4 linked regions of the Oreochromis niloticus genome follow. The protein of the gene in region 1 purifies or fractionates together with the protein of each later gene. This does not show direct contact. Links are inferred from orthologs where the notes say so. Each region holds a gene or a part of one and is shown in the gene's direction. Other genes may lie near its edges.

The links. Proteins that work in one complex are often made in the same cells at the same time.
Region 2: the proteins of dld (region 1) and pdhb purify together in Homo sapiens (affinity purification with mass spectrometry; 3 studies listed by BioGRID and IntAct, counting the BioPlex papers as one, with this or other methods). This does not show direct contact. The link is inferred for Oreochromis niloticus from reciprocal best matches to the Homo sapiens genes DLD and PDHB.
Region 3: the proteins of dld (region 1) and dlat purify together in Homo sapiens (affinity purification with mass spectrometry; 4 studies listed by BioGRID and IntAct, counting the BioPlex papers as one, with this or other methods). This does not show direct contact. The link is inferred for Oreochromis niloticus from reciprocal best matches to the Homo sapiens genes DLD and DLAT.
Region 4: the proteins of dld (region 1) and ogdhb purify together in Homo sapiens (affinity purification with mass spectrometry; 3 studies listed by BioGRID and IntAct, counting the BioPlex papers as one, with this or other methods). This does not show direct contact. The link is inferred for Oreochromis niloticus from reciprocal best matches to the Homo sapiens genes DLD and OGDH.

What each region holds. Positions count from the first base shown.
Region 1 is NC_031972.2:3,413,015-3,420,360, forward strand, and holds the start of dld (dihydrolipoyl dehydrogenase, mitochondrial), read left to right. Parts: upstream 1-4,333; 5' UTR 4,334-4,450; coding exon 4,451-4,489; intron 4,490-5,550; coding exon 5,551-5,626; intron 5,627-5,928; coding exon 5,929-6,008; intron 6,009-6,125; coding exon 6,126-6,194; intron 6,195-6,735; coding exon 6,736-6,805; intron 6,806-7,346. UniProt on the Homo sapiens protein: Lipoamide dehydrogenase is a component of the glycine cleavage system as well as an E3 component of three alpha-ketoacid dehydrogenase complexes (pyruvate-, alpha-ketoglutarate-, and branched-chain amino acid-dehydrogenase complex).
Region 2 is NC_031970.2:12,962,233-12,969,314, reverse strand, and holds the start of pdhb (pyruvate dehydrogenase E1 component subunit beta, mitochondrial), read left to right. Parts: upstream 1-4,060; 5' UTR 4,061-4,142; coding exon 4,143-4,181; intron 4,182-4,265; coding exon 4,266-4,325; intron 4,326-5,271; coding exon 5,272-5,379; intron 5,380-5,475; coding exon 5,476-5,538; intron 5,539-5,639; coding exon 5,640-5,675; intron 5,676-6,149; coding exon 6,150-6,340; intron 6,341-6,424; coding exon 6,425-6,519; intron 6,520-7,082. UniProt on the Homo sapiens protein: The pyruvate dehydrogenase complex catalyzes the overall conversion of pyruvate to acetyl-CoA and CO(2), and thereby links the glycolytic pathway to the tricarboxylic cycle.
Region 3 is NC_031975.2:13,575,561-13,583,274, reverse strand, and holds the start of dlat (dihydrolipoyllysine-residue acetyltransferase component of pyruvate dehydrogenase complex, mitochondrial), read left to right. Parts: upstream 1-4,692; 5' UTR 4,693-4,868; coding exon 4,869-5,123; intron 5,124-6,562; exon of another isoform or gene 6,563-6,713; intron 6,714-6,822; coding exon 6,823-6,924; intron 6,925-7,002; coding exon 7,003-7,127; intron 7,128-7,542; coding exon 7,543-7,702; intron 7,703-7,714.
Region 4 is NC_031972.2:9,756,101-9,763,957, forward strand, and holds the start of ogdhb (2-oxoglutarate dehydrogenase, mitochondrial), read left to right. Parts: upstream 1-4,835; 5' UTR 4,836-4,971; intron 4,972-6,195; 5' UTR 6,196-6,360; coding exon 6,361-6,594; intron 6,595-7,857. UniProt on the Homo sapiens protein: 2-oxoglutarate dehydrogenase (E1o) component of the 2-oxoglutarate dehydrogenase complex (OGDHC). Participates in the first step, rate limiting for the overall conversion of 2-oxoglutarate to succinyl-CoA and CO(2) catalyzed by the whole OGDHC.

The sequences.
Region 1 (7,346 bases):
TATTCTGAAAAGACCAAAAACCAACATTTGTAGACCAGGATGATATTAAGTCATGGAGAGATTTCCACAAATTTTGGAAAGTCACCCATAAAACATGTGCTGTGTTGTTTCCAAAGTTGTTTTACAAATATAACAATTGTCTGACACAAATTTAAATCTTTCTTTCATGAATTCATTAGAGGGGTCGATGGTTTTTGTAGTTTTAAAATGAACTTTTTTAAATTTGGGGGTTTGGGAATTTTAAATATTTAGTTCTGATCAAAGAAATCTCACATTTGTTATAATCTTTTAGAATGAGTGAGCATTTTGTCCTACTTGAATATAAGGTGTTAACCAAATACTTCCTCCAAAACTGATTATTGCATTTTTCATTAACAAGGTCTGGACCATCTAATTTAATTTTACGTAAATTTGGAGTTGGTATATTTTGCGTTGATAAAAACTATCGGGATATTCTGTGAAACGTTTTTGTAGAGCTCAATTGAACCACTCATGCTATGTTTCTCATTAAACCTGTTTAATTCAAGTATATTTCTGTTTTCATCCATTATATGTGTGACAGACCAAATTTGTTTTGTCATTCATTCTTCCACAAACATAGATTTCCCCCGATTCAATATCACCCTATTATTCCACAGTGGAACTTTGTGGGGACTAAAGTTATGTTTGAACATTAATCTCCAGTTTAACAAAACTTGTTGATGAACTTTGGAGAGTTTTATGAGAATTTGATATCCCCGACTTTGTTGAAAATAAGAGATATAATAAGAGGTATCAAGAACCAGATCTCATCATCATTGTTTAGCCAATTAAGCTTTAACATTCCCTTCATTATTTCAAAATCACTTGCTTTTAAACCCCCCTCTTCATAGTCTTTTATAAAGTCCCTGCTTCTGATATAGTGAAGTTTTTTCCCATATGAGATTAAAATTAATCTTATTGATTTCTTTTAATATCCTTGGTGGGATGGCTAGGGAACAAGCTGGACAGATTAATCTGGACAAAGATTCAACCTTGGTTAACATTATCCTGCCGAACAACATTAAATCTCTCTGTAGCCAATTGTTTAAAGTGTTTTTGCATTTGTCAATTGTATTCTGAATATTCTTTTCTTCACTGTCAGCCATGCATTTAGTTATCCAAATTCCAAGATATTTGATTTCATTTTTGACAGGTATATCATACAAGGAGGAGTGAGAACAATTATGGATACTCATGAGTTCGCATTTGTCCAGGTTCAGGCGTAGGCCAGAAGCATCAGAGAAAATCTTTATTGTGTCTAAGCCAAATGGAATTTGTTGGATTTTGGAATTTGGCAATCAGTTTGCATGCTTATTCTTAGTATGGTTAACTAATTGGGATTTCAAATATGCAGTCTACTGATTTAATATAAAATTAAATATTTGGCTGAATTGTTTTATTTCCATACAGCTGAATCCTCCCCAGAAAACCAAAGCAAATGTTTTTTAAAAAATAATTTCACCTGAGTAACTGTGTTATTTAAAAGATTAGCCACAATCAGTGTCAATTTTCAGAGTTTCTTTCAGTTAGTAGCGTGTTTTGGATTCATCAGTTTAATTTTAATAAAGGAGTTTTCAGAGAACTGGTCCAAAATTAGAGGTTAATAGGAGGAAGAAAACATAAAGAAATAAAATAAATTATAGCCTCCACACATTGTCTGACTTTTGTGAGCTGAATTATTGTACGATAATGCAGTTACAGTTTTTGCTTTATGTCCATTTATCCTCCCAGTGTGGTCATGGCTGCTGCCAGCTGTCTGCTGTCTGAAGACCAGTTTCTGTGCTGCATCTGTCTGGAAGTGTTCACAGATCCAGTCAGTACACCATGTGGACACAACTTCTGCAAGAACTGCATCACTCAGTACTGGAACAGCAGTCCTCTGTGTCAGTGTCCAGTCTGTAAAAGGAAGTACTACACAAGACCCGAGCTCCATGTCAATACTTTCATCTCTGAGATGGCTGCTCAGTTCAAGCTGTCAGCTCAGCAGGAAGCCAGCAGCAGCGGAGGAGAAAACAGAGGATGAAATTCAGGAGATGATCCAGAAAAGAAAGATTAAAATTGGGGAAATGAAACACTCTGTGCTGCTCAGTAAGAAAGAGGCAGACAGAGTGACAGCAGAAGGTGTTCAGATCTTCACATCTTTAATAGAGTTTGCAAAGAGCAGCATGAAAGAGCCGATCAAGACAATTGAAGACCAGCAGAGAACAGCAGAGAAACAGGCTGAAGGCCACATGAAGGAGATAAAGCAGGAGATTTCTGAACTTATGCAGAAAAGCTCTGAGGTGGAGCAGCTCACCCACCCTGAAGACATCCTTCACCTCATCCAGAGTTTATCTTCCGTGAAAGCTGCTGTCCCCACCAAAGACTGGACCAACATCAGTTTGGATGGTGGGGAGAATTATAAATCAGGTGGAGAGGAATCTCAGAAGTGAGTTAAGTAGAGTGACTGAGGCTGAGCTGAAGAGGGGGTTACACAGTTAAGTTAAAATTTAACCCTGATTTTGTCCCTGATTCAGTTCAACCCAAAGCTCCCCAGTCTGCGAATGGTAATTGTATATGTGTTTTGTCAAACCAGGGTTTCTCTTCTCAAAGATTTTACTTTGAGGTTAATGTTAAAACCCATCGTACATGGACAGTAGGAGTGGCCAGATATGTGAGCAACCTGAAGAGAGAAAGCACCAAACTGAGCCCTGAAAATGGTTACTGGACTGTTTGCTCGGGGCCATGGTGATCAGTTGATCCATCTGTGAATTTAAGAACTGAGAAAGTGGGAGTGTTAATAGATTATGATGAAGGCCTGATCATTTTTTATGACATTCATGGTGTAGCTCTTATTCACTCATTAATTGGCTGCTCTTTCACCTAGAAACTCTACCTGTTCTCCAGTTCCTACCAAAATAATGGAGTTCAAATCCACACCGGTAAATGTTTGATATCATAGATAAGTGTCCTAAAAGGTGTTCTAAAATAAATCTACATAAATAAGGGGAAAAAAGAGTTTTTGCTATTTGAATTGTTTTATTTTACACCCGTGAACCTCCCAACAACTGCCACAGGTTTGTATTAAGATGAACATTTTTGATGATGACATTTTGTGATTTACACTGTTGAGAACCTATGAAAATGTTTTAATACAATCTAAAATAGAAAACTTTCATTTTGGAGGCAGTTTCACTGACAAAGATACAATTTATACACCGTAAAATATAACCTATAAATATAATACATGTGGGGTAGTTGAGGAGGGAAAGGTTAATCCACTTAGTTAAGACTTGCATGTGTATATCTGGGTTGCTTTTTTAAAATATTATATATTATAAATCTAAGCTTCAATAAAGTGATTTTTTAAGTGTTTTGTGTGTTAATTTAACTCAATCATCTCACATCTTCTACAATGATTTCAGCAGGTGGTTTAAAGAGCTAAATGTCTCCACCTAGTGGAGTTTATCCCACACTGATAAATGTGCCCCTGCCTTTACATCTCTGACACTTTATTTGTCTCATAGAAGCAACTTGTGCAAAAGTTGAAAACCTCTGTTTCTTCTCTGTGACGCCACATTTCTGCTGATGTGTTGATTCAGATATTAAAACAACGATGCAGAAATGCTCATGTTAAACGAATTCACACTTAATTTTCCGATTGTGTGCCTTTAGCATCATCTTTCTGTGATGTTACATTCTTTGTTGGGCTGCTTGTTACAGCTGCAGTGGACATTTTCCCCTAGTTTTTTGTGAGCATGGGGGATTGTGCAAAATTTACAGTTAACATATGGCAATTTGCAGACCAGATTAAAATTCGCAAAGGCTTCGATTTTGTCATTTCCTTTTAGAAATGACTTTTAGATAAGGCATGAACTGAGTGGCTGTAAATCAAACAAAAGTTCTCCCCACTCCTAAATCCTGTCCTGTCTGGCAGCTTTTGCAATCAAAATTAGGATCTGTTGAACCAAATACATTTTGCTTTTCCAGGATGAGCTCTATAAATATAGGCTTCTCTTGTTTCTATTATCTTTATTTATTCATTTCTTCAAAACCTTCACCAATTTAATGTCCGTGACGTAGATTTTCTTATTTGTATGTCTGATTTTATTGTGAAGCACTTTGTGATTTTTATCTGTGAAATGTGCTATATAAATAAATTTTATTTACTTTTACTTTACTAAGACCAACTTACTCACGGTAGCAAACTTTCAATATTCAAACTTATATATATATATATATATATATATATATATATCTGTAAAATTTGTTTTAAAATGATTTTGTTTTAAAAAATAACATTTGTTTACCCTTCGCAAACTTTGACGTGTAATAGATGCGACCCGGAGGAGTTTTCTGTTTGGACCCATACTGCGCTTGCGCAATGATAGGAGTCCTTGGCTGCTCGGCCTGCTGTAGGTTACGGATCCAGTGAGGGTACACCGACAAAATGCAGAGCTGGACACAGTTATACCGCTCCCTGGCCACGGTAAGCATTCATATTATTTTCGCTATAACCAGTATGCGAAACCCGGATGTGTCGTAAACTGTCCTGCGTGCTGCAGATCTAGAGGATAGGGGAAATTTTAGACCTGCGGCCCACACCTGGCTAGCTACTCGGCTAACAGCAGAAGGCGAACCAGACTGTACTGGAAAAAACATGCAATTTGGAGTTGTTGTGGTTATCGATGTCTAAACACGTTGCTTGATTTTCAGTTGATGTGTTACCTATTCATATACCTTTTTCCTTTTAATTCGGCATGAGTTAGACTAACAACCTTCCCCACATTTAAACTAAATCACGACTTTTCTGGTTAAATATTGCTGCAGTATTTTGAAGTAAAACCTGCAATGAAAAGAATCGTGATATTTGTATTCTGCTAATATTAAAAGGGCTTAAATCACACAAAGCTAGAAGAAAAGCATCTAGGTTCTATGACTTGGCAGTTGACATTTCCCACTCTGGTGTCGTGTTAGCTCGCTTAGCTGTTTAGCAGCGGTTGCCTAACTCTTAATTTATGTCGTAAGCTCAGCTGTTGTCTCACAGCTTCAGGGCGAGCATCCCGATTATTCCGAATTGTTTCGGGGCTTTTAGAAGCTTTGCGACTCTATAACACTTAAATAGTAGTTATTTGCTAACTTGGTAGTCTGCTAAAGGGGAAAGTTTCAGAGTTGCTAGTGGACAGGCTGAGGGTGTCCTTGCTGAAAGCTGGCACTGCAACAGCAAACCAGCTGAATGTGGTACAATTCCATGAAAACAAGTGCATGAGTCTAAATATTAAAATTTAAATTTTAGTTTAGTAGTTGAGTTTGCTCCTTCGTGACTCACTAGGCTTCAGTATCTGAGTATGCAGCTTTAAAAGGAAATAGTAGTGACGTAAATAGAAATTTTTAAGCAGCAGATTACTGAAGTGAGAGAAGCCACTGAAGACAGATACTTTTAGTTTGCAAAGTTGGCTTGTGATGCACTATAACATTGTTTTTGTGTTGCATTGCCTAGTTGTATTGTGCATGTGTATTTTCTAACTGTGCATTTTGTTTGCTTCACAGCGGAGCCACCACCTGCCCTGCAAAGTGCACGGAGCTGCAGCGCTGTCTGTTCGGACCTACGCTGACAAAGCAGCAAGTACGATTGTGCTGTAAATCTTATCATAGGACTTTATTTATGGCACAGTGTTTACTGAACTGTAGCCACATGTTTGTGCAGTTTGATCTCTGATGTTTGTATCAAAGCAGTCTCATAATTCAGACTTGCAGAGAGTCTCAGGTGCTGGATTTGGGTGGGGATAGGACTTCATGGACTATGTAAAGAGGGGTGGTAGAGAGCTTGCATTAAAATGTTCATTTACATACACCAGACTTTAATCATGTAGTTTTGCTCTGGTGGCGTAAAGTCATGCTAAAAGCTGCTGTGTTGCCTCTCTGCAGTTGATGCAGACGTCACAGTGGTGGGCTCCGGTCCAGGAGGCTATGTCGCTGCAATCAAAGCTGCACAGCTCGGCTTCAAGGTAACCCACCTGCCCAACAGATATCCTGCTGTCTAAACAGATCCCACAGATGGTCACAAGTGGAAGTTTTTGGTGAATAATGAATCCCCTGTCTCTAAATTTGTTATTCTTTGACAGACAGTGTGTGTCGAGAAAAATCCCACACTCGGCGGGACTTGTCTCAATGTCGGCTGCATCCCCTCGAAGGTAACAAACTGCTTTTAATCTCCACAAATTCACAGGTTTGTTTGTAAGAGGTTTGATCAGTATGATCGTTTTACAGAGGAAGGAGAGATACCAAGGATGTTTTTATCTTGGGTTTGGTTTTTCTTTCAGAACTTGTACACCTTTAGTATAAAAGTAATCCAGTGACGGTTGTCTATCCATAGATATATTATAAAGGGTAAATGCTTCCATGGAACACATTTGAGTAGTACAGACAAAAATTTTGCCAGAAAGAACAGCAGCACATACCGGTAGCATCTTTTTATTGTCTTGATGAATTCAAAAATAAGCCAATACTTCTGGGTTTAGCCAAACAGAGTGGGAAAAACATTTTCAACTTCATAATAACGACTAAATTTCACAGAGAGAGGAAAGCAGAACAATCTTCACCTAAAAAGAACTTTTCAGTTTGGTGATAAGCACTGAACGTAAGATTGATTAAACTATATTGAATCCGTAAAATGACGTAAACGTGTATAAAGTCATTCCTCCAGCTGAATAAGCTGCTGTTTTGTTTCTGCAGGCTCTGCTGAACAACTCCTACTTGTACCACTTGGCTCATGGGAAGGACTTTGAAAGCAGAGGCATCGAAAGTAAGAATCACCATCAGGCTTTAAAGGGAACATTTTGTGTAGCTTACTGATCCTTAAAGGGGGCTTATTCTGCTCATTTCCAGCTACATGTTATAATTTTGAGCTCTAGTAGAGCTTTGCATGATTCAAAGTTCAAAATAATCCTTCTTTATGTCATAGAGGTTTTTGTGCTGCCCCTCAGTTAATCCTGTCAGAAACAAGCTGTGTTAGCTCTCCTCGCTTTAAGCCAACCCTCTTATGATTGGATGCCCCTCATAAAAAAAGGTTTGACCAGCAGTACATGCTCTGTGTGCCTGAAATGACTATAGTAGAGAAATCCATTGTCTTAACCTTTCAAGTAGATTTTTTTTAGCCAAGATTACACTGAAGGTCATTATTTGCAGCATTAGCCATATTTAATATAAGCATATACGTTATTATAACACTTGTGTCTGTATTCCTTAGTATTGGATGCTGATGGCACAGAACATGTGTTTTCGACAATACACTTTAATTGAATGTAACTTGTTTTTCCATCGATTTCTTAGTTTGACATTGTGAC
Region 2 (7,082 bases), on another chromosome or scaffold:
AGACCAAACTTTCCTTCTTTTAAATTATCTCCGACTTTTTGACATGTAGCCTGCAGGCTCTGCTGAGCCAGTTTCCTCACAACTGAGCTGCAAAACACACCAACTGGTCGTCTCTGTCTTTAATTAACTCGCTGTCATGCCGTGTATTAAATTAAAACAAAATACCAATGCAGTGCAAGGTGTTCAAGAAAAAGTCATCTTCCTGGATTGAGAGTTTGAAAGCAGAAAAAACGTTTATTTGCATCTTATTGATCTGTAGATATTTTTTGGTTGAGTATCAAACATCACATTGAAATTACAGACAGAAATGACTGTTTGTTGCAGCACAAAACAGTGGAGGTTTAACCGACGCTCTGCTCATTGGTCTGTTTCTCTGCATTGCATTTCCCCCAGTTGTCTCCACAGTTCTTCAGACTGTACCCCTCTCTCTCACGAGCTCTATAAGCATGAAACAATCCCAGTTTAGATTGATTCTGAACATCTTTATCTCCTTTTTTTCCTTCTTTTGGACCAAACGGGCGCAATATTTTGCACGAGGCAGAGCACATAACGAAGAGCAGCTAAATGAATAGGAAGCTACAAACTACACTACTTGTGTTTTCATCCAGCTGTTTGTTTGTGCACATTTATTTGATGATGGCATGAGGGGGCAATGACAAGTTTGGGAGAAATAACCCCCCAGAAAAAAGAGGTGGGTCAAAGTATAATGGAGGGAGATGCGATGTACCGTGTTTAATAAATTTATTAGACCACCTGTTATTTAAAAAAAAAAACATTAGATCAGAGTTATATCATTATTTCTGAGGCAAACTGAATTCATCACTTTACAGCCAAATGTGAGCCGGCACTCTGGACAGAAATAAATCAATCAACATTCAACCACAAGATTTTCTGCTCAGAAATGCATGTAAATGACTCTAATTTGGCGTCTTAGTCAAAATATATCATGCTTTCATTTTTTCCTTGTAAAACAGTAAATTTAAAAATTCATGGATAACAAAAATAACTATATTTTAGCATTAGAAATATTTTGATTCAAAAGCTTGCACATTCTGCTACACAAATGAATAAAAGAACAAATTTGTTAATTACCAATACTGATTACTTATGCAGCTGTGGCATAAACCTTATGTTGAGAGGTGGACTAATAAATTTAGGCACTGTGCATGAAGCAAGTGTGGAGCACTGAAGAAATAAGGTTTTGATGGTGTGCGTCCTAGCTCCTTTTACTCACAGTTGATGAAAACAGTTTCCCAGAATTCTCCTTAGCTCTGCACTACAGTTGGATTAAAGGGAAATGAACAATAACATTAATTTTCTCACCTGGTATCCTCACAGTCTCTCATTCTAGTGCAGCATGAATTTAAAATCAGCCGCCTGCTGTTGAGGTTTATGGTAGATCATCACGTCTGTACTGCCCCGCATCAGAGCAACTTGGATGCATGGCAATGAGCAGCTCTGCTTCCGATTGTGCTCAGGGTCTGAAATTAATCTCGCATCACATTTTTCTCCTGACCTCAAGTAAATCCTCAATTTTTTTTTCCTGATTTTATTTTGGTCCATCAGTCTCTTCACATCACTGACCAGGGTCCAGATCATTTCTAATAATCCTTCCATCCACAAGTAAACTACAGATAATGCGTTGCCGTCAACATTACTCTGTACTTCTGGGAATAGTTAACCTAATGCCACAAACCATGTAAGGAAGTTTGATTGAACCAAGGCTTCAGATGATCTGTAACCGGTTTATTATTGTCCCGAGTGTATTTGGGAAGATTATTCTTGTTCATATAACTGTTTCTTTCCAAGCATGCAGTGCTGTGTAACATTAAACACAAATAACATTCAGCACTGAAATTTTGTGGATGAAGTGCAGCCCCAGAGAGCTCAGCTCGCCTTCAGGATTAACTTCAGACCCTGATTTCTGATTTTGATTCTTTTTAATGTTTGTTTTTTCCTCTGTTTTAATGTTTGTGTCCAGACTTTTGTTTGTTGTTATTGTGCCATACCCATTTGGGTGATAGTGCCTAAAGAAATCTGAATGTTTTTTGTTATTGTACATGAGCTCATCGTTTTGTTTGTGGTAGTATGCCAACGCTTCAGCATGTGGCTTAGAGTGGTTAGCAATTAACAATAGTCCACATGTCTGTAAAATTATCAGAGTAAAACTTTGTAAATCTGCAACAGAAAACACAACAGGTGAATAATTATAACTTTAAATTACATGCAACTTTTACAGCTGTCACCACAGGGCAGCCAGGACCCACTGTGTGCAACAGAAACTATGACCACCTGTGGTGATTTATTCCTCATCACCCAACTTGTGTGCTGAAGCGTTGGTGGCTGAATCTGGAGCTCAGGTGAATCCTGTAACCTAAAGACTCTTTAAAAACCAAGTTTTTAGCCCTTCGATGACAGCTCAGTGCTCAAATCATTTACTTTCATCATTCAGTGCAATCAGCCTAGCATGAATGCTCATTACGTTTAACCAGAATGTGTCTCTGCAGCACTTTAGAGGGGTGGAAGCCCGGTCCACGGGGATGTTTGTTAATAAAAAATAATCCAAGGCAGCAAATTCTCTCTAATCTCCTGAGGAGTGTATTAATGCAGCTGCAAGAGGACCCCCTCATCATCAGCAAACGTGAAATAGATTTGGCTGCTGTGATAAATAATACTTGTATCAAATGAATAAACATTTGGGGAAAAAAGCAGTTTCCTGTTTATTTTCACGTTTTCTTATAGTTGTGATGAACAGGGGAAGATGGAAAAGGCAGGATGTGACATCTTATATGGAAGCTTATCAAAAGTTAAAAGGTTTGCTCAGGGAGGGATATTTACAGGTAACTAAAAGATAAGTGATGAGGTTGCACAGGTGGAAGCATAAAGAGTAGTGGTGTAGACACAGCTGCCTGACAAAGAAGAGTTCCGTGAAGGCAGACGAAGGGTAGGTTTTATATCTTTGGGCTCTGCCCGCATCATGAAAAGTGGCGAGAGTGAGACAAGAAGAAAGAAGCCATGGCAACAGGCATTGACCAAAATGAGGCATCCATCCCTCTGTGACACTGACACAGCTACATCATCAACTGTTTTGTTACGAGGAGCTATGTTACAACTATTGACTCTATGGTCTCAGGTGTAACAGTGTTAATTGCATTTTTTTATATTTATGGTCACTTTTAATTTAATTCACAGCGGGACACAATGTTCAAGGTGAAATGAACTCAAGGTTGGATTATTTTAATGTTTGATTATTTTAACGTTGCTTAAAGCATCTTCCTCCTACCTTTATTTGTATGACCCAGGTGTGGCCACACCTCTTCTATACCTGAAGCTAAAAAGACTTGTGCAAAGCATACACCTTTGCATCTCTTAGATATAGTCTCCTGTCTCCACTCAGCATAGAAATTAGTACTGAGACTGATTTTGATGTCGGAGGACAGAAAACATCAAATAAACATGCACATATATATGACTTCTATTTGCTATTACGTGATGTGTACGTGACAAATAAAAGGTTCTTGAGTCTTGAATCTTAAAACAAGCACTAATTTGATAAATACCAGTAAAGTTAACCTTCAATACATAATCATATATGTCATACATAATCATACAATCATACATAATGTGTGTGTGTGTTATAAATGTTACAAGTGCAACTCATGTTTTCACTTATTTTCTATGATGATATGTGGTAAACTGACAGTACCATTAGAGCTTGATCAGAATGAGGATTGGAAACATATTTCTTAATGGATATGAAAAAGTTTGGAAATTAAACTTGCAGACTTACAAAAGTGCCATTGTCCATTGCCAACTAGAATGTGTGTAGCATATGAAATAATGTCAAAGTGCACAGATTAAATTAAAAAAAAATAATGAATGAAAAAGGAGTGAATCGCACTACTTATTTATTTATGCATCTATGTATGTTTTGCCTTCCACACATGACGCCTGCGCGGCTCCGTGTCCTTGGATATTTTTACGCCCATTTCCTACTCTCCCGCCTCCTTATTTGTTGACCGCTGTGATTGGCTGTTCGAAATGACACGTTCCAATCAACCTATGAGGTGCCATCTTGATTGGCTAAAATTCGCCAGCTTCCACTATCACGTCACTCTAGTTCGACAGAGGACAGGTTCAAGATGGCAGCGTCCCTGAGGTGCTTTCTCCGCTCCGGAAAGGTATAGATTAAATCGATGTTTTTAAAGCAGTGTTTGGTCTTTCTTGGAATGTAATGTTTGTGCTCTCGCTCTGTTCTCCTGCAGAATACCGTGTCAGCTCTGCAGCGGCGGGATTTTCACAGGAGCGCTCCGGCCGCAGTACAGGTCAGTGTTAGCAACTAGCAGGCTAGCTGTTTCTACAGCGAATGATATCGGTAAATATAGTTTTGATTGCACAGACAACAATAATAGGCTGAAGATTGGATGGGGGCTTGTTTTAATCAGCAGCTGCCTGTTTTAAATACGTGTGTTAAGGTTTAGGGGTCGTGCGGTTGTGCGGTCACTGAGCAGAGGGATGCGGGTTTACATCACATCAGCCCTCATCGCGCTGACAGCTGTCTCACATTAACGTAAATCACTGTCAGGAGTTTGAGGGGAAAACTATTAAAACAAAGCTTAAGCTCTGAAACAGTGCAGACAACAAAATGCACACTTTTTAAGCAGAACAGCAAGAAAAATCCTGGAATTTGGAGTATTTTAAACTCCAAAACGAGAAGTGCTGCTGGAATACACATGCAACATCTCGAAGTGTCTTTAAATATTGTAGCTGCATCTGGGGTTGCTCGTGTATTTTAAGCAATTCCTTAATATAATTGGCAGGAGGATAAAATTAATCAAGGCATTTTCACCGAAGTACAAACTGCATCTTTCGCTTGTCATTAAGAGACTGTAAATGGAAGATGGTTGTGATATTGTGACATCAGACTGTGCACTCTAGGGCGGAGTAATGGACAGGTTTAAGGTCAGAGCACTGGTTTTAAGTGGCCATTAAATTGGTGACAAAACTAAACAGATGTAAATAATTTCTACTTGTGTTGGATACAAGTAACTACCAAGAATGACTTTCAGCTTTTGAGTTCTGAACTAAAACCTTCAGTCTTCTGATAGCCACTTGAGACTAAAGTCTCCGGAAATTGTTTACAGCCCTATATGAAACAGGTTTTGGATGGAAACTTGCTATTGTTGCGTCCATAAGTTAAAAATTTAACTTCAGTATGTGGAAGCCAGTGTTTTCTGTGACGTGTACTGATTGTTTTGTTGCCAATGTTAGATGACAGTCCGTGATGCCCTGAACCAGGCAATGGATGAGGAGTTGGAGAGGGATGAGCGGGTGTTCCTGCTGGGTGAGGAAGTCGCCCAGTATGACGGTGCTTACAAGGTAAGTTTAAAGCTCAGATTGCGAGTGAAGTTCCTGGAGGCAGTTTGTGTTCTGTCCCAATGAGGGCAGTCAGACTAATGGTGGTTACTGGTGCAGGTGAGCAGAGGGCTGTGGAAGAAGTATGGAGACAAACGAATCATTGACACTCCAATCTCAGAGGTGAGCTCCAAACGACCTGCCCTACAGATGTTTTCCACAAATCTAAGTATCACCACTGGTGGTGTTGGACTCATTTTAGTAACGTTTTGTTTTTGGTGCAGATGGGGTTTACTGGCATTGCAGTAGGAGCTGCTATGGTAAGTCTGACCTGTTCCTGATGGGATGGGACTATATTAAACTGACTTTAGTTTGTAACATTTTTACTTGAGTCTGTCTAAAACATCATTCTAAACCCTGAATAATCTTGAGTCCATTACCTGAGATAATGGGCTTAAGTTTAAGAGCTTCATAATTACACTTGAATTCTAAGCAGTAATTCAGTTCTGTGCACACTTTGCTCTCTACAGACCTGAATTATGGCTCCATTGCCCACCAAATTAGCTTTACACCTCAAGACCAATGAAGCAGTACACAGGCAACTCCCAAGCCACTTTGACTTGTATAATAAAGCACTTTTCCTACCTTGAAGCCATAAATGCCAAAATAAGAGTTCCTTTAGACTAGAATTCTTCAAAGTACAGATTATGAAAGCTCTTCAGATTCAAACTACCCTATTATACTTGAAACTTGCAATCGACAAATTCCCTAACAAGATCAATGTCCTCTTGCAGGCTGGTCTGAGACCCATCTGTGAGTTCATGACCTTTAACTTCTCCATGCAAGCCATTGACCAGATCATCAATTCTGCAGCAAAGACCTATTACATGTCAGCTGGGCTACAGTCAGTTCCAATCGTTTTCAGAGGCCCTAATGGAGCGTCAGCAGGCGTCGCTGCACAGCATTCACAGTGCTTTGCTGCATGGTGGGTTCAAGACGTCACGTTACTGTTTGCAGTAACTAGCTGATGTTTGGCAGGTCTGACATCAGTGTGGTCATTTGTCTCCAGGTATGGTCACTGTCCAGGACTGAAGGTTGTAAGTCCATGGAACTCAGAAGATGCTAAAGGCCTCCTGAAATCAGCCATCAGAGATGAAAATCCTGGTGAGATGCCACACTGAAAAGCTTAAAACATGGATGTAACCCTGCATATCAATGTTCAGGCACTGCTAGCTCCAGTTGATTACATCAGTGTTTAATTAAATAAGCCAGCTTGTCCCTAATGTGTCTCAGCCAATAGTCAAACAGTAATTCAAGCATTGTTGGACTGCAACTGACTAGTTCTTGTTCTGGGGTCTGTTCTTCGTACCTCGCTAAGTAAGTAGCTGGATTTGATTGTTGACGATTTCGCGTGATCTTGGATCGTTCGGTTCTCCGAAGCTCATCCGGGACTTGCTGTCATAGCAACAGATTCGTAAGCGTAAACCTGCTTGGGAGTAGGCTTACTTTATGTAAACAGGATTAGATCGCGGCCACTCAGGTATGTACACTTCATTTATACGAAAGCAACAGCGATATTTCTCCACTGTTTTTTTCCATAAATAAATATTATCAATGTAACTAAAGATAATGCAGTATTTGATTCCTTTATTGATTTCATACAGATACATACAGGTCATTTCCTAAAAAAGGGAACTGTACTATTAATCATGCTATTTCATGTATTT
Region 3 (7,714 bases), on another chromosome or scaffold:
CAGTTTTTGAATTGTGTCGACAGGCCACGTAAAACCAGAGTTATGATAAAAAATACACGCGATGGTTTTTTTTTTTCTGAACAAAACAGTGGTGTTTACAGCGGGAAGAACGGTAAAAACGGCGTTTTCTAAGGACCGCGCTAGCAAACACTCTCCACTTGCGAGTAAAAAAAAAAAGAAAATACACCCCTTCCCTATTGGTGTTAGAGTTTACCATCTCAGCCAATCAAAAAAATGATATGGCAACATGTGGCACTTGGTTGTTTAGGGAGAAAGGGAAGTTTTAGGAGTGACACCCGCGACGGAAAGCAGGCGCGCAAAAGAAAGAGAGCGCGAGTTTTCATATGTGAGACATTAGTGACGTTTAGCGTGTTTGGAGGCTAGAGTTAGTTTGTTGTGTAGTTATTGTTTTGTATTGTGTGTGAGTTATACTGCTGAATGTCACATTTGCTCCAAAAAAGCCATCAAAGGCAGATTCCAGTGTAAACGCTGTTCCCACATGGAAAACTGGACTGATACACCTCCTGCTGTCAGACCTGCAGGGTTTAGGCCTGTGCTGTTCTCCTCTGTCTTATATTGAACACAAACTATTTTTGGACTGGCACAAATAATTTCTGTGCCTTCTTATTTGATGCAGCACAACTGATTGTTCTGTAACTAGATTTAAATGGTTATATAAAAAACGCCCGAGGCCTTGGCTGCATTTTTAGGTAAATAGTACCATATAACTTTGTTTGCAAAACTTTGGGAACTTCAGGTTCATACACATGTAACGAAAGATACTTTATTAAATATTTACTAAATTGATATAAAAATTGTTAGTTTTCAAAAAGTGTGTCCTCCTGAATGGGATTATAAGCTAACAAGCAGCGCTGTGTGTTTGGCAGATGGCAGGTCATGACGGACAGTTCAACTCTCATCCCACTTTTTGTTATAAATGTCATAAGTGTGCTACATTGGTTGTGCATCAAAATTACTTTAAAAAAAACTGACAAAACCATGAGCAATTATCTGGAATAACTAATTTTAACATCTTATTTCTTAAGGCTGTATTTTTAGCAACAACACTTAATCTGTTTTAAAAACAAAATGGTAGGTTTATAAATGAGACTGAGTCTTATTTGATTTCCTTGTTTTAGGCCTCAAACATAGTCCAGCATCGACGAACCATCAGTTTGGAAGGGTTACAGATATTTATTCGTGACGACGAGACCAAACTCTTCTTAACATGTCTGGTGAGTATGCAAATCTACTCAATCTTCAGTTTTGGTTTACAGAGACTTGTATGTACTGTTGTTAATTTTGCATAGGATACAGATCCAGTTGAGAGGGCAACCCGAGGTGTTACGGTGGGCATCCTCACTGTTCTGGAGGACTATGTGGGACCCAACTCGCAGTCCACAGTGGTCAACACTGCCATTGTTTTGGAAGAGGACATTATTCTTGATGATCTGCCAGACCTTCCCACTGCCTTTGCCTACCTGTTTGGCCTACTTTATGGGGTCAACATGGAGTTTCCCAAAGAACTCAAGTACACATTTGTTTGCTGTATGGAAACCAGATAGAAGAGTTCATATCCTGCCATCTGATGTTTTGAATCTGTTTGTTAGTGACTATCAGTCAAGATAGGTTTGATTTTCTGTCTGACAATACCACACCTTTAAAATTGGATGAGTAACATTTGTTACAAAAATTTGACCTTTTTTTTGTTTTTGGAAAAGGACTTTATTTGTGGCTAAATGTTGTCAGTATGTTAAAAATGGCTCATCTCAAAACATTGTCAGTGGTACAGTTGTGTTTGAACACAAAGTTATTTGAAAATCAAAATTGTGTAAACATTCATTAATACAACAGGGAGCACCTCATGAAAACTATAAAGGATACTTTTTCTAAACTTTAGGAAATTGATTGGCAAAACAAAAAAAATATGTTGTGTAAACTTTAGGAATTACATTGTTAAAACAATGAAAAATATATTTTGTCAACTTTAGGAAATACGTTGCCAAAACTAAAACTAATACCTTGTGTAAACTTTAGGAAATACATTGCTAAGACAATAAAATATGAGTTAAGAAAAAGCACAGTTATTAATTTTGTAAACACAAAAACATTAGTTGAAGCAACTTTTCTCCTAAACTTGAAATTATAAGTTATCCATCAGAACCTAAAAACGTAAATGCAGTGGGTTGCCTTGAGTTTTTAAGTTTTTGCAACAATTCTTTTTTTAACAGTGTATTTTATTTAGTGCCCTGTGAACTAATGCCTTTCTTCCAACAATGTCTAACAAAAACACATGAATTTAAATAAAATATCCATAAAGTAAAGTAGAAAGGATTGCTTTTGTATAATAAAACAGTAAGAATAGGAGTAAATTTTGATATATTGGTATGTCATAAAGTCATGTATTATATTAGCAATGAGTAATATTGCACTGAAGTTTATGTTATTGAGTAATAAGGGGGCAGAAACTTGGAATAATAATGTGGAAACATTACTTTATTAACTTGGTTTTCCATATTATTACGGTCTTGTTTCCACATTATTACACCACTATTATGGCATTATTATGAAGTTGTAATAGAAAGGATTACCAAAGTGTGAAGAATTATCATTGAAATCATTTTTTAAATGTGTTTTGGAGAAGTTTGTCTAAGTTTATAAGACATCTTTGAGTTTCAGGAGAGGAAAAAAAGTGGTAAACATTTAAATGCATAAAGCAAAACATATAGTTGGCCCAGAAATTGAGCTCAGCATCACACATACTGTTTCATCTTGCAAAGAAACCCTGTAATGTTTGCCAATATTCCCTTGGCTTGTCCATTTGAATAGTGCATGGAATGACATTTATAATACGCCCTTTACTCTGCTCACCTCATTATAGGTAAGGCAAGCTGTGAGGAAATGGCTTTAGATTATGAAAAACAGAGCCACAGGAATTCAGCTGAAAAGTCCAAACCTTTGGCAGTTCTCTCAGGAGAATCTACACATACAGTGCATTATTTACAGGTTAGACAGGTGGCACATTAGAGTATAAATAATGCCAAAAATTGTCAACAACATTTGCTTTAATGCTTTGTTTTCTTTTTTTCTTTCTTTTTTTAAATATACCTTCATATAACACTGGATCCCTTCTGTGCAGCCTATTCTAATACTAACTCAGCCATGGATGAGCTGCACAAGGCAATAAGGAGTCAGCAGAACTCCTATCCCAATGCAGTGTACATCATAGTTGGGGACTTTAACCATGTTGACTTAAGGTCAGTATTCACCAAATTTGAACATTATAGCAACAAGGTGGAAAAACACACTGGATAAAGCCTACAGCAACATCCAAAAAGGCTACAGAGCAACCCCTCTCGGACTAATGGTGTCAAAGGCCCCTCCCATCAGAAGGAGACACACTCCACCCACTCCAGTTCGCATACAGAGCTAACACATTAACTGAAGATGCCATTGTTACAACGCTCAGAATACTGCAGCAAGACTCTTAACAGGCACCAACAAAAGATCTCATATCACCCCAGTTTTGGCCTCCCTTCACTGGTTGCCTGTAAATTTTAGGTTTCATTTTCAAATTTTACTTCTAACCTTTAGGGCCCTACATGGTCAAGCTCCACAGTATATATATCTGACCCGCTGAAACTGCATTCATCTTCCCAAGCTCTAAGGTCATCAGGTCAACAACTGCTGATTCCACCACACACTCAATTTTAAACTCGTGGTGATCGTTCCTTTCAGGCAGTGGCACCACAGTTGTGGAATTCTCTTTCACTGTTTTTACACTGTACTGACACCACTGATTCTTTTAAAAAGCAGCTGAAGATATTTTTATATAGACAAGCATTCAACTAATTTGTTGTTTTTATGTTGTATTTTATTGTTTTACATTGTCCAGCATGTTGACTGTTACCTGAAATGCCACTTACTGACCAACAGATGGCACTCTTACAAATACCAAATCTGATTTGGTATCTGTAGTCAGACAGTGCTCGTGTCATCAGTGTCACTTTAACATTACAAAGAGTAAAAACAAGTAAAATATATTTACAATAAGCAGACCTAAGTGCCGGAAAGTTCAAACACTGAAAAGCACAAAGGCCAACTTTGTGTCATCCTCTGAATGCTTCATGACACTCTTAGACAGTTTTTATCCTTCAATGCTGATTTGACTGAGTTATGATGTGTACATGGTTTTATTTATTTACTTACTTTCACATTTACCTCGACTTACTTTGCTTCAGCCAGCTGTGTTTTTATAATCATGCAGTCATCGGACCTTTGGAACCTTTGTGAATTGGACAAAATCCAAAATAAATTCAAACTTGTGCACCCAGTTCTTTTTTTTTTAAGTCATTAAAGATGCCATAATGGGTATATGCAAACTTCTCGCCATAACTGTGATACATAAAATCAAGATTCACAGGCTGGCTGGACCCAGGCAAACTTCCCAGTAAAAGAATCTACTGCCATCATGTGGTCATTGATGTGATTACAGCTTAATTACATTTATCGCTAAAACAGTTTGAACAGTTCTTAATATAATTTTTTATTTGCTTTACTTTGTTTCTTTAGCATTGTACTTTCATTGGCAGTGGTGGTGTTTTTTTGTTTGTTTTTGTTTTGGGGGTATTCAGCGACTGAATTGTGAGCCGCTGCCATTTACGACACCAACGACAAAGCTACGACAGCACAAGCAAGAGAGCCGTAAATCGTTGTGTTTGGGGCTGGAGGAGGTCATTAGAAAGTGAGGAGTTAAATAGGGGCTGGCTGTCAGGGAGAAGAGACCCTCGGTGTAGGTGTAGCTCTCATGCTGGTGTAAGACATACATATTATTCACCAGCTCTGTATAGTATTCCAACCGCTGCGAAATGCTTCGTCTGATCCTGCGGCTCAGGCCGTCCTCCGGGCTCCGGTGTCCCCGTGCCCTCCCGGCCGGGCCTGCTGCGCTCAGCTCCCGCTCTGCTCCCGGAACCAGCTGTCTGAGACGGCTTCATTATGGAGCAGGGTCCCGAGCGGCCTCTCTGGGCTCCGGCTTCAACCACAGAGCGACTCTTCTGCGGTCTCCCCAGCTAGCAGGTGGATGTCAGTGCAAGCGCTTCTACAGCCTGCCGCCACACCAGAAGGTAACGCTACCGGAGCCGGTGTCAGGTTGCTATAGCACCCATGTTCACCGCGTTAGCTAGCATGACCTCCCTGCCTGTTACAGAGATCTGTTAAAAAACGCTTTATTAACTGGAAATCCGGCTCTTCCCTGTGTGAGGTTAGCAGGAACTGTTGTTACCTATCGTTTGAATCTCTGAACGACTAGTTTCTCCACTCCTCACTGGTCACTGAACTAAATAAAGCAGACACTGTTGTGACTGTTTGTGCTGCGGTTCTCCTGAATGACACCAATCCGTCAAACCTGACTTGTGTGCCCCAAACACGGAGGCCATAGGAAATACTGGGGCTATAAAAACGTAACACATGCCTGATGGTGCTGAGCGATACTGCAAAATTTGGTATCGATCCCGATACCAAATAAATACAGGGTTTCGTATTGCCAATCCCGATACTTGTAACCTATAAAGACAGCTTAAGTAGGGAACAGCAGTATGTTATTGTTTATGAGGTGATTTATCATAAATTTGCAAATTGTGAACAACTTTTAATGACCACTAACTGACTGAGCTTTGCCTTCCATAATAGCTGTGTTTTGTTTCCACAACAAAGTACAGCTTTCAGTTTGTCATGTATTTTGAAACAGTTTTTTTTAGACTTGGAATATAAATGTACCTTTCTCTAAAGCACTGTTATTTAAATGTGCTATAGCTTACAAATAACAAGGATGTGACAGTCACTACGAAAAGGTTCAGACACTTTTCATAGCAAATGTTTGAGGTATATTTTACTTTCTCCAAAAATAATTTATCTAACACAGTTCAGAGGGCTGAACGCTGAACTTGGACATTAGAAGTAAAGTATAGGTTGTATCACGATCTGATACCAATATCAGTGTTTGTTTCGGTACTATCGATATTTGGCTCAATCTGCGCACCTCTGAGACATTTTAACACAGTACACTGTGTGCACAGCGCACTCATTGTAAAGTTTTAAAAAGACTAGATTCATACTTTGTCACTTTCCCCAAGTGTATTGAAGTCAATTAGAGCAGGTGATTTGTGTTCTCCTCTGCTGCATTAGACAGAGGACCTGGAGGGAGCTCATGGTTAATTGGTTGTGGAACAACTTCAGGAACTGCTGAAAACATGAAACAATTATAACCTGGGAAGTCTGACAGGCTCGTCCTCCAATTTAAGTGACCTGCTGGTTTATACCTCTTCGTCAGTTGGGAGTGCTGCCTGTGGAAATTGCATGCTGTCCCCGAAATCATGAAACTGGCAGCTTCACTTTCTCCTTACAGTCTAGAGGTGTGCTCGTTAGGTTAATTGAGCGTAGGTGCAGATCTTAGGCTGTGAGCCTGAATGAAACCCTCCAGTTTTGGCTCTAAAGTGGAAGGCTTCTTAGTAGTCCTTCGACCTTTGTGTTACTCCACCAATAGCATGTCATTCATCTTTGCTGTTATATAAAAAAAAACTCAATAAAAATCAGCTGTGGTAAAGTGGATGTAGGTCATTTTATTGAGCAATGAATGAGGTGATGATGATGTAGCAACAGCAGTTACAACACCTGACTTCTGGCACTTTTTTGACTGGCCTGTTGAAAAGTTCCCAGTGAGGATACTCGAAAAGGATAATACAGATACAGTCTTTGTTTTTTGGTGTTTTTTTTTTTTAAGGTTTTAGGTTATACATTGATTTTATTCATTTGCTTGCTCTTCAGGTGGAGCTTCCTGCACTGTCGCCCACCATGCAGACAGGAACGATCGCTCGCTGGGAGAAGAAGGAGGGGGAGAAAATCAGCGAGGGTGACCTCATAGCTGAGGTTAGGAGCCGTGTGTGCCCACGCTGCCGCAAAACGTGATCGTGGCGTACATTTCTAATGTTGCCTCTGCCTTTGTAGGTAGAGACGGACAAGGCCACTGTGGGATTTGAGATGCTGGAGGAATGCTATCTGGCAAAGATCCTGGTTCCTGAAGGAACCAGAGATGTCAACGTTGGAGCCGTGATTTGCATCACAGTTGACAAGTTAGTGTGTTTGGACAGTCCAGATTCAGAGCTGAGGCCTGTTAGTTGAGTTTTTTTGTTTTTTTTCGTTTATAGTAATGGGACGAATTAATAGTTGGAAAACATTAAATGGGGAGCACTATGTTTTGATAGTGGCAAAATGCTGCTTTTATTTATTTTTTCAGTCCTTTAAGTCCTTGAGCTTTAACAAACATGATAAAAAAGACTTGAATCTTCAGAAAACCCTTACAATAAACTTTAATGCTGCTTGGTTTACGTCTACATTTGTTATGAAATGTAATGTAATGTGCTATATCAACAAAATTGCCTTTGCCACAATCAAATATGGGAGGTTAAAAGCTGACAGGGTGCCATATGGCTCGATGCAGTTGTGTCAGTTTCTACTCATTATTTGTGGATATATTTTCCCCTGCAGCCCTGACTTGGTCTCAGCCTTTAAGGATGTAACACTAGATTCGATCAAAGTAGCCGGTGCCACTCCTTCACCTGCTACCTCTGCGCCGCCTCCTCCACCTGCTGCTGCTGCGCCAGCTCCACCTGCAGCCCCTGGAAGCTCTTATCCCGCACACTTAAAGGTAAGCGAGCTC
Region 4 (7,857 bases), about 6.3 Mb from region 1:
TTTACCCAAGGACTTTTTTTGATGCCAAAGTGCCTTTTTATTGAACATTTATACTCCAATGAACGGATTGGAGGGCAGCTTACCTACTTGAGGATACTTTGGCATGGAGAAGCCAGATTTCAAAAAAACAAACCTTCTCATTAGTAGATGACCTGGTCTACTTCCCGAGCAACAGCCACCCCTCAATGTTAGTGAGTAAAACCAAAATATTAGGTAGAATATCAAATCCTTTAGTTTTACAATATCTCCCAGAAATATCTAGTGTCGTTTGCTGTATTTTCCCTTAATGATCTAACTTTCTGTCCTCGAGGGGGCATCAACTTCTTCAAGCTTGACATTTAGACTGACTACAGGATTAAAGTACATACATGATGATTGAATGTGAGAAGAAAAATACTGAAGATTAAAGACAGGCTTATACAGGCTGTCAGATAAAGCACTGAGCTGGTCTGTTTTAGGACATATTCACAATATTGTCAAATTACTTTAGCTCACTTAACAAATAGTATAGAACATGATAGCTCCTAGTTTGATCCTTCAAATATCACATACACAGTAAAGCTTAAATGATTGGTTGAATCATCGCAGGACGATGACTGGAAAGATCAAATCATGGAAGTGGTTTTCAAAGAAAACTATAAAAATTAGCTGGTTCCAGCTTGTCACCTAATGGAGAAAAGAAACCAATTATTATGAAATATTAAAATATACATATATAATTTTATAAAGTGAACTAAAGAAAAATGTATTAGAAAGATAACTTTGTGCTTCTTACAACACTAAGATATCAAACCTTAGGTACTAAGTGGTGATGTAAAATACACCATCTACTAGGGTAAATGTATGGGCATACCGGCAATTCACAATGTAATGCTTCTCACCATCCATGCTGATCATGATGTAAAATAAAGAAATATGCTTTCAAATACTTGTTGCATTGAATCATAAAAGTTAGAAGAAGTATTAAAAACAAAAACACATTAAGCACCTAAATTTGGAGAGACGCATGGTGAACTTGCCAAGCCAAGGCTGTGATTTAGTGTTTCACATTTTGCATGAGTAGTGTTTTGTATCAAAAGGTAAAAACTTTTTGAGCCAGTTCAACACATTATTAACAGTCATTCAAAACAGTCTTTTATTAATTACTAATTATTTACATTACAAAATGAAACGGGGAATTATGCATCATCAGACAATCTTGAGGTTGTTTTTGTTTTTTAAACCATTAGTATCAGTGAAACTCCACAGCTATGGCTTTAGGACAAACCCATGAATTTCCCTTCCTGGTCAAACCAAATGTCAGTGCTATCAGTACTTTAATTGGATTGGTTACTTAGAATTAGTGTCCTCTTTGAAAGCTGTACCTTCTTACTTAATAACTAGGTTTGGGCCTGGGTGTTAATCTTAGGCTTCACCTCCAAAGACAATTTAAAGTGTATTGATAGATCCTTATCATTTCTTCTTCTGTGTTCATGTGAGCAAGTATGATATGAATGATGATGATGGTGATGACTGTATGTGAAACAAAGCTTTTATCATATACTTTTTGTATTTATTATATGATGATGATCAATATTAAAGTGTGATCAGATGTAATCAGTGTGTAAACTAATAAAACTGTCCACTCTACTATTCCGTCTTATCTCAACTCACAACCTTAGAAAGAACCCTGTATTGTTTTAGTTTTCCTTGTGTTTTTAGTGCTTTAAAATGTTACATGAATAAATGTCAGTATTTCCTCTAAACAGAATATTACTCAGAATATTCCAGCAAGTATTTTTTAGAAGGCAAAGTTTGAAGGGTCAGTAAAAACATCTCAACCACCACAGTGATTACAGGAAAGCTCGAAAAGTAGATTTACTCATGAACTGTGCTATGGAATGTTTTAAAGGTGTAAAGTTACTTCTCTTTTGTTACATTTCAGGGTAAATGTCTTACTTTACTGCATTTATAGATTAACAAATTTACAGACAAGGATAGAAAATGTAATCTGTTGTTAAACATTATACATAATTTTATTTTGCTGGAATTCTTACTCTACCCTTTCTCTTCCACTTATCCAATTTAGGGTCACAGGGGGGCTGAAGCCTATCACAGTTGCCATAGGGCAAGAGGCTAGGTACAACCCTAGTCTGACTCAGGGTCAACACAGAGAGACAGACAACAATTCACAACTATGGGTAATTTGGAAAATAACCTAACCTCACTAAAAGTATGTCTTTGGACTATCGAAGACAGCCGGAGAACCCAGAGAGAACCTATGCAAACCCGTGGCCAGACAGTGGATTCTAATCCAAGACCTTGCTGTGAGGTGGCAGTGCTAACTACTGTTTTAACATGCCATGGATTTCATATGTAAGGTTTGTAAGGTTTTTTAGCTTACAGAGTTAAGTTCCCTAATTTGGTTGCTTTTGTAAATTGGAGCTAAATAAATAAACCAAATTGAAATATACTAAATTTAGGGAGATAAGACTCACCTTTTGCAAATACCTTAATGTCAGATATCAAAGTAGAACGGATTATAGTGAAATACAGTAGAAAAATATTTAAAATTGCAGTAAAAAAAAGTAGTAATTCACTAGCTGGGATCACATCCTCAGATAGGTTTGCTAACATTTTTGTAGATAGTGGCAGATGGCTTGAACATAAATTGAGGCTGTGGTTTTTGGGAAGGCCTCAGAGGGGGACTGGTGGCAGCTCCTGGGTCAGGCAGATCCCTATAAGAAGTGAATTATTTGAAAAAGGGAGAGAGGGTGGGTACGAATCTAAAGCAGACAATAGCAACCTCGTTGTACAGGATACAGTAACCATCGCAGTGGCAGATATTCAAGAAAGGTTTGCAATATATAACTTGTTAGGGGTGAGGGGAGGATGACAATACAAAAGACACACTATGGAAGAAAACCAGAGTTTTAGAAGGATTTTGAATTCAAGAATGAAAATAAGCTAATATGGGATAAATATGGTCTCATTTTCTAGTACTCTTGCACGAGCATCATTATGATTATTATGATTAGCAGAAGTAGTAGTAGTAGTAATAATAGTAGTATTTGCAATGTTGACTGGTTCTGAGAGATCTGGGAGGCTGCTGTTCTCTGCTCTTAGGTACACCAGCCACTTAGCATTGATAATGTGTAATGCCTGTTTTCCTCAATGCTCTTCTAGCATTGCTCAATTTCAGCTCAGGATCTGCCCTTGTATTGTTATTCGCTTGTAGCTGAAAGCACAACCTGGGATCTTTGCATGGATCTTTGGAAAACAGGCCATTTCTCCTCTTGGCTTCTGCTATGGAAATCTTGTTGCACTTTCTTATTCATCTAGGACCAGGTTTTTCAACCTGTTATACTGAAAAATAAGAAAAAGACTAGCATACCATAAAAAAACAAACAACAAAAAAACATCACAAACAGCAGTACAGAACCAGGAACATGGGATCTGTCAGCCTGAACAGAGACAGAGACACACATGCCTACACACAAGAAAATGATATTGCCAGCATCCACGGAATAGTACCAAGAAACTGACAAAAGTCATGTTTAATTAAAGACTAGATAAGGAGAATATTTTTACGATTTTTAAGGCTTTGCCATTTTATTTAGTATTTTTTTTTCTCTTTACAAACAAATTGAGGAACAGCAATACTGATAAATTACCAATTTGTGTGCAAAATGTTCATTTGATTTATGCCCAGATTTGATTGTTAATGACGTCCATTGTTTTAAAGTACAGAGCCAAACAAAGGAAGAATTCTTCAGAGAAGAGGCAGCCAGCTGATATTTTGTCTGCAGTAGCTTCAGCAAGGCTGAAGATAGATGATTTTTTTTATGAAAGGAAAGTTTAAAGGGCAAAACTGCTGTTAAAAGATTCTTGACTTTATTACCTATTATGTTTGCAATTCATTTAATTAAATAAAGCTTTCATTTAATGTAAAACATCTTCTGGTAGTGGTGTAAATACATTTATTCTATTTTGAATGCAGTGTGGTATTACTATGTTAATGATTTGTGCTGTGAGATCCAAGTTTACATAATGAAGTGGCTGAAAATCTGTGTCACCACCACCTGAAGTATGTGTGAATGTCTTTCTTGTCTCCTCTGTGTCTGCCTTTAGTGTTGCAAAGACTTCATTAGCATCATGAATTAAGCTGTGTTGCCAAAACACCAATTACATGAATACATATTAACATCAAAGTCAGTGCCAGCAGGGTGCAGAGGTATCGGAGCCTGTCTGAGAACAAGTTAATAAGCTGAGGGATAAAAATGCTTTTTACCTAAGGTCTGCTTTGAAGTACTTTGATTATATACTGTGAGCCATAGGAATTAATCATTTCAGATTTTAATACAGGTATATTTTTCTTCATGAAACAAGATGTGATAATTAGAAATTCTGCTTTTTCACCAACCAGACTGACAACATTGTGACCCCAATAGACTCAACCGGTGATGGTATCAGCCTTCTACACCAACACATAACTTTTAACACCTCTTTTTTTCTTAGAGTTTATATCATCTCTTGAGTGTTTGTATGTGTACTCGTGCGGTTTAATCAGTAATGAAATTTTCTGTAATCAGAAAAATATATATTTCTATGTAATAAAAAAACACCACAAAAAAAATCTTATTTGGTTTTGTTTAAATGTGACTACATTCCAGATGTAGTTATCCATTCATTACATCTCTGCCCACATTAGGCGCATTTTAAACATGCATATCATTTGAGTTGAACAGACAAAACTAACCCTGCATTCAGTTCAGAACACCAGAGAACGAAAAAGTTTTCTTTGTTGCTTACTTAAACAAGTAATATCACTACCGGGACGCTTTTCAGCACCGGGGACAAGACAGCGCTCGCGCGCGCGACACACACGCGCACACAGACTTTCGTCTACGACAGGACCTCTGACTTCCACTCATTTACGACACGGAAGGCTCCGGGGAAGGCGTCGAAAGCACCTACGAGACCGCGGTAAAGGTAACAAAGTCGATGCAAATGAAGTGTTATCCTAAAAGCTTTATTTAACGAGAAACTTTACTTTGAACCTGATTAATGCTTCGTAGGGGCCCCATGCGTGATGGTACGGTTTTTGAAGTGTTCTTGCTTTGTTTTCGGTATTGTATTTATTTTATGCAGATTTTAAGGTTACAAGTCTTTTTGTCTGTGCTTCAGGCTATATGCCGTCCCCCAGTGAACTTCATTTTACTAAGATTCTTTTTTCCTGGAAAGACCCGTTAGATGTGTTGTTAACCCGCACCGGCGTTATTCTTTGTGGGTTTTCATAACTAAATTCCTCTGTGTTGTCTTACTGCTTGTGCTCATAGAAACATTCGATTAGAGCGCCACAAAATGCTGAAAAGTAATGACTAGAAATACACCAAAAAACATACATTCTCCTTTTCAGTAAAGTCTGCTAAAGGTTAAAGTCCAGGTTTTACGAACTACTGAGGTGTCTTTAACAGTAAAAGCTATTATTTTCGATCTGCTTTGTTGCTTGCTGAAATAAACTGCAACATTTTTCGACAGTTAGCGTTTGGCCTACATTTAATAGGCGCATGTGTATATAGTGGGTGAATGGTGTCCCTAGAGACTATAAATTATAATATTGAAAACCATATCTAAATCTAAACCATGAATGTAATAGCTAAATGCTGAGTCTTAAAACTTATAATTAAGTCATAGACAGTATAAACATGGGGCACATCTTGGTGAGCAGGGGCCTGGTTGCAAAAGTACTTCTTGTTGTTCACCTTTTAAATATTGGTAATACCAAGATTCAGGGGTAAGCAAATCACAAGTTGTTAGCCACTTTTCTGTGCTTGTTAGCAACCTTCTGCTTCTTTAGCATGTAATGATAGACTAGGACTCCTTCCCCAGTCATTTCTGAAATAACTGAGGCCTCAGTCCATATGCTGCCTACGGCACCTATCACATTTTCAGAATTTTGGTATGAAAGGGAAAAAAGAAAGGAAAAAAAAAGAATTTTGGTATGAAAATGTATTGTAAATATCAGTTCTGGTGCAAAATGCATACCTTAATTTACAACTAGCACTTCTTCACATACAGGACACAAATTCACAAGTACTGAGAAACTGAATAAAACATTGTTTTGGCCTTACCATGTGTTTTTTCACAAAAATATATTTAATATTAGCCTTATTAGGTTTGCTCAATTACAAAATCTATATCTGGAATCTGCAGGATCCATTGGGCAGTTGGGAGAAGAGAAGGGGCAGTGTCTGCAGATAAGCCAATCTCTCCGGTTCAGCAAGCCAGACGGATTTGAAGAGGGGCAGCTCCTGATTAGCCTGTAGGATCTCCTTGTCCAGGAGAGTGATCCTGCAGAACTGTGACTCATCTGCCGCTATGCACTGCTTAAGGACTACGGCTGTAAGGCTTTGGCCTTTAACGGCTGTACAAATGACCCAGAGCCTATCAAAGCCTCTACCATTGGCAGTTAAACAGGGCTTAAGGAGATCTCAGCCCACAAGGCACCTGAACACACCTCTAGCTAGTGAACCCTTTCTCAATGGCACCAGCTCTAACTATGTGGAGGAGATGTACTACTCATGGCTAGAGAATCCAAAGAGTGTGCATAAGGTACAGCACATCCACCTTTAATTCTGTGTTTGATGTTGTTGTCATTTCTGCAGTTATATATGTTTAAAATATGAAACTGCATGTAAAACCAACCAAGTGTTTTGGTCGGCAGAGATGACCTAATAATGGATATATAACAGGGAAAAATAACTCCACCTCCATCAATTACAGACATAAAATGCAGCCTCCACATAAATCAACGCATATTTCAACCCAGTCATTATTGGTAATTAATAAACAGGTATTAGGTTGCCTGGTGTGGGACCAAAGTTTGATGGTGATTAACCAATAACTGAAAAGGTGACTATGACACAGTGTTTAAATTTGTATAAAGGAGAATACATTTATGATGAAATTTAAAAAGATAAACAGAAACAGATTTTCAAAATAAATGGGGATGTTGGTGGTGGCTGGAGGGGGGTCGAAAAATGGAAAATAATAATAAATAAGTATATATTGACAACTAAATACACATGTAAAGAAAGAAAGAAAGAAAGTTTGACAATTTTACTAAAACTTGAAAATACCAAATTTCCACACATGAACATCGAGACACAAAATTGTCCACATCTGTACTTCTTGACATGTTGCACAGTGACAATCCACTGAAGATACATTATTAGTGGAAATACTGGAATTTAGGTGATGGAGCTGCCTGAATAGAGTGTAAAGGACTTATGACACACTCAGTATGAATGCAATAGACAACTGCCTGCACTATTCTCACTTAGGCTATTCTCACTTAGACGTCACACACTACGAGACTATGCACTATGTCTCCAGTCTAAACGATGAAATGCAAAAAACTGTAGTTCATGGAGTGGCAACTTGAAGCTGCCTGCATAAATTACACAGTTCACATAGAATTCCATGTTTAAGTGGGCAGCTGAGTTTTTGTTTTATAACTCATCCATTTGGATAAAGGTTTACCATTAGCAACATTGGCAGTTGAAAGACAAGTAATAATAATAATAATAATAATACATTTTATTTGAAAGCGCTTTTCAAAACACTCAAGGTCGCTGTACACAGTAGAGTAAAAAGCAACATAAAAGCAAAGAGTTTACACAATCATAAAACATAAACAAATTTAAAATAGCAAAGTGGAGAGGTTATGTGGGATAAGCTATTTTGAACAAGTGGGTTTTGAGTTGGGACTTAAAGAGAGAGAAGGTAGAGATATTTCTTAAATCAGGAGGTAGGGAATTCCAGAGTTGTGGAGCAGAGCAGCTGAAAGCCCTGCTCCCCATGGTGACAAGACGG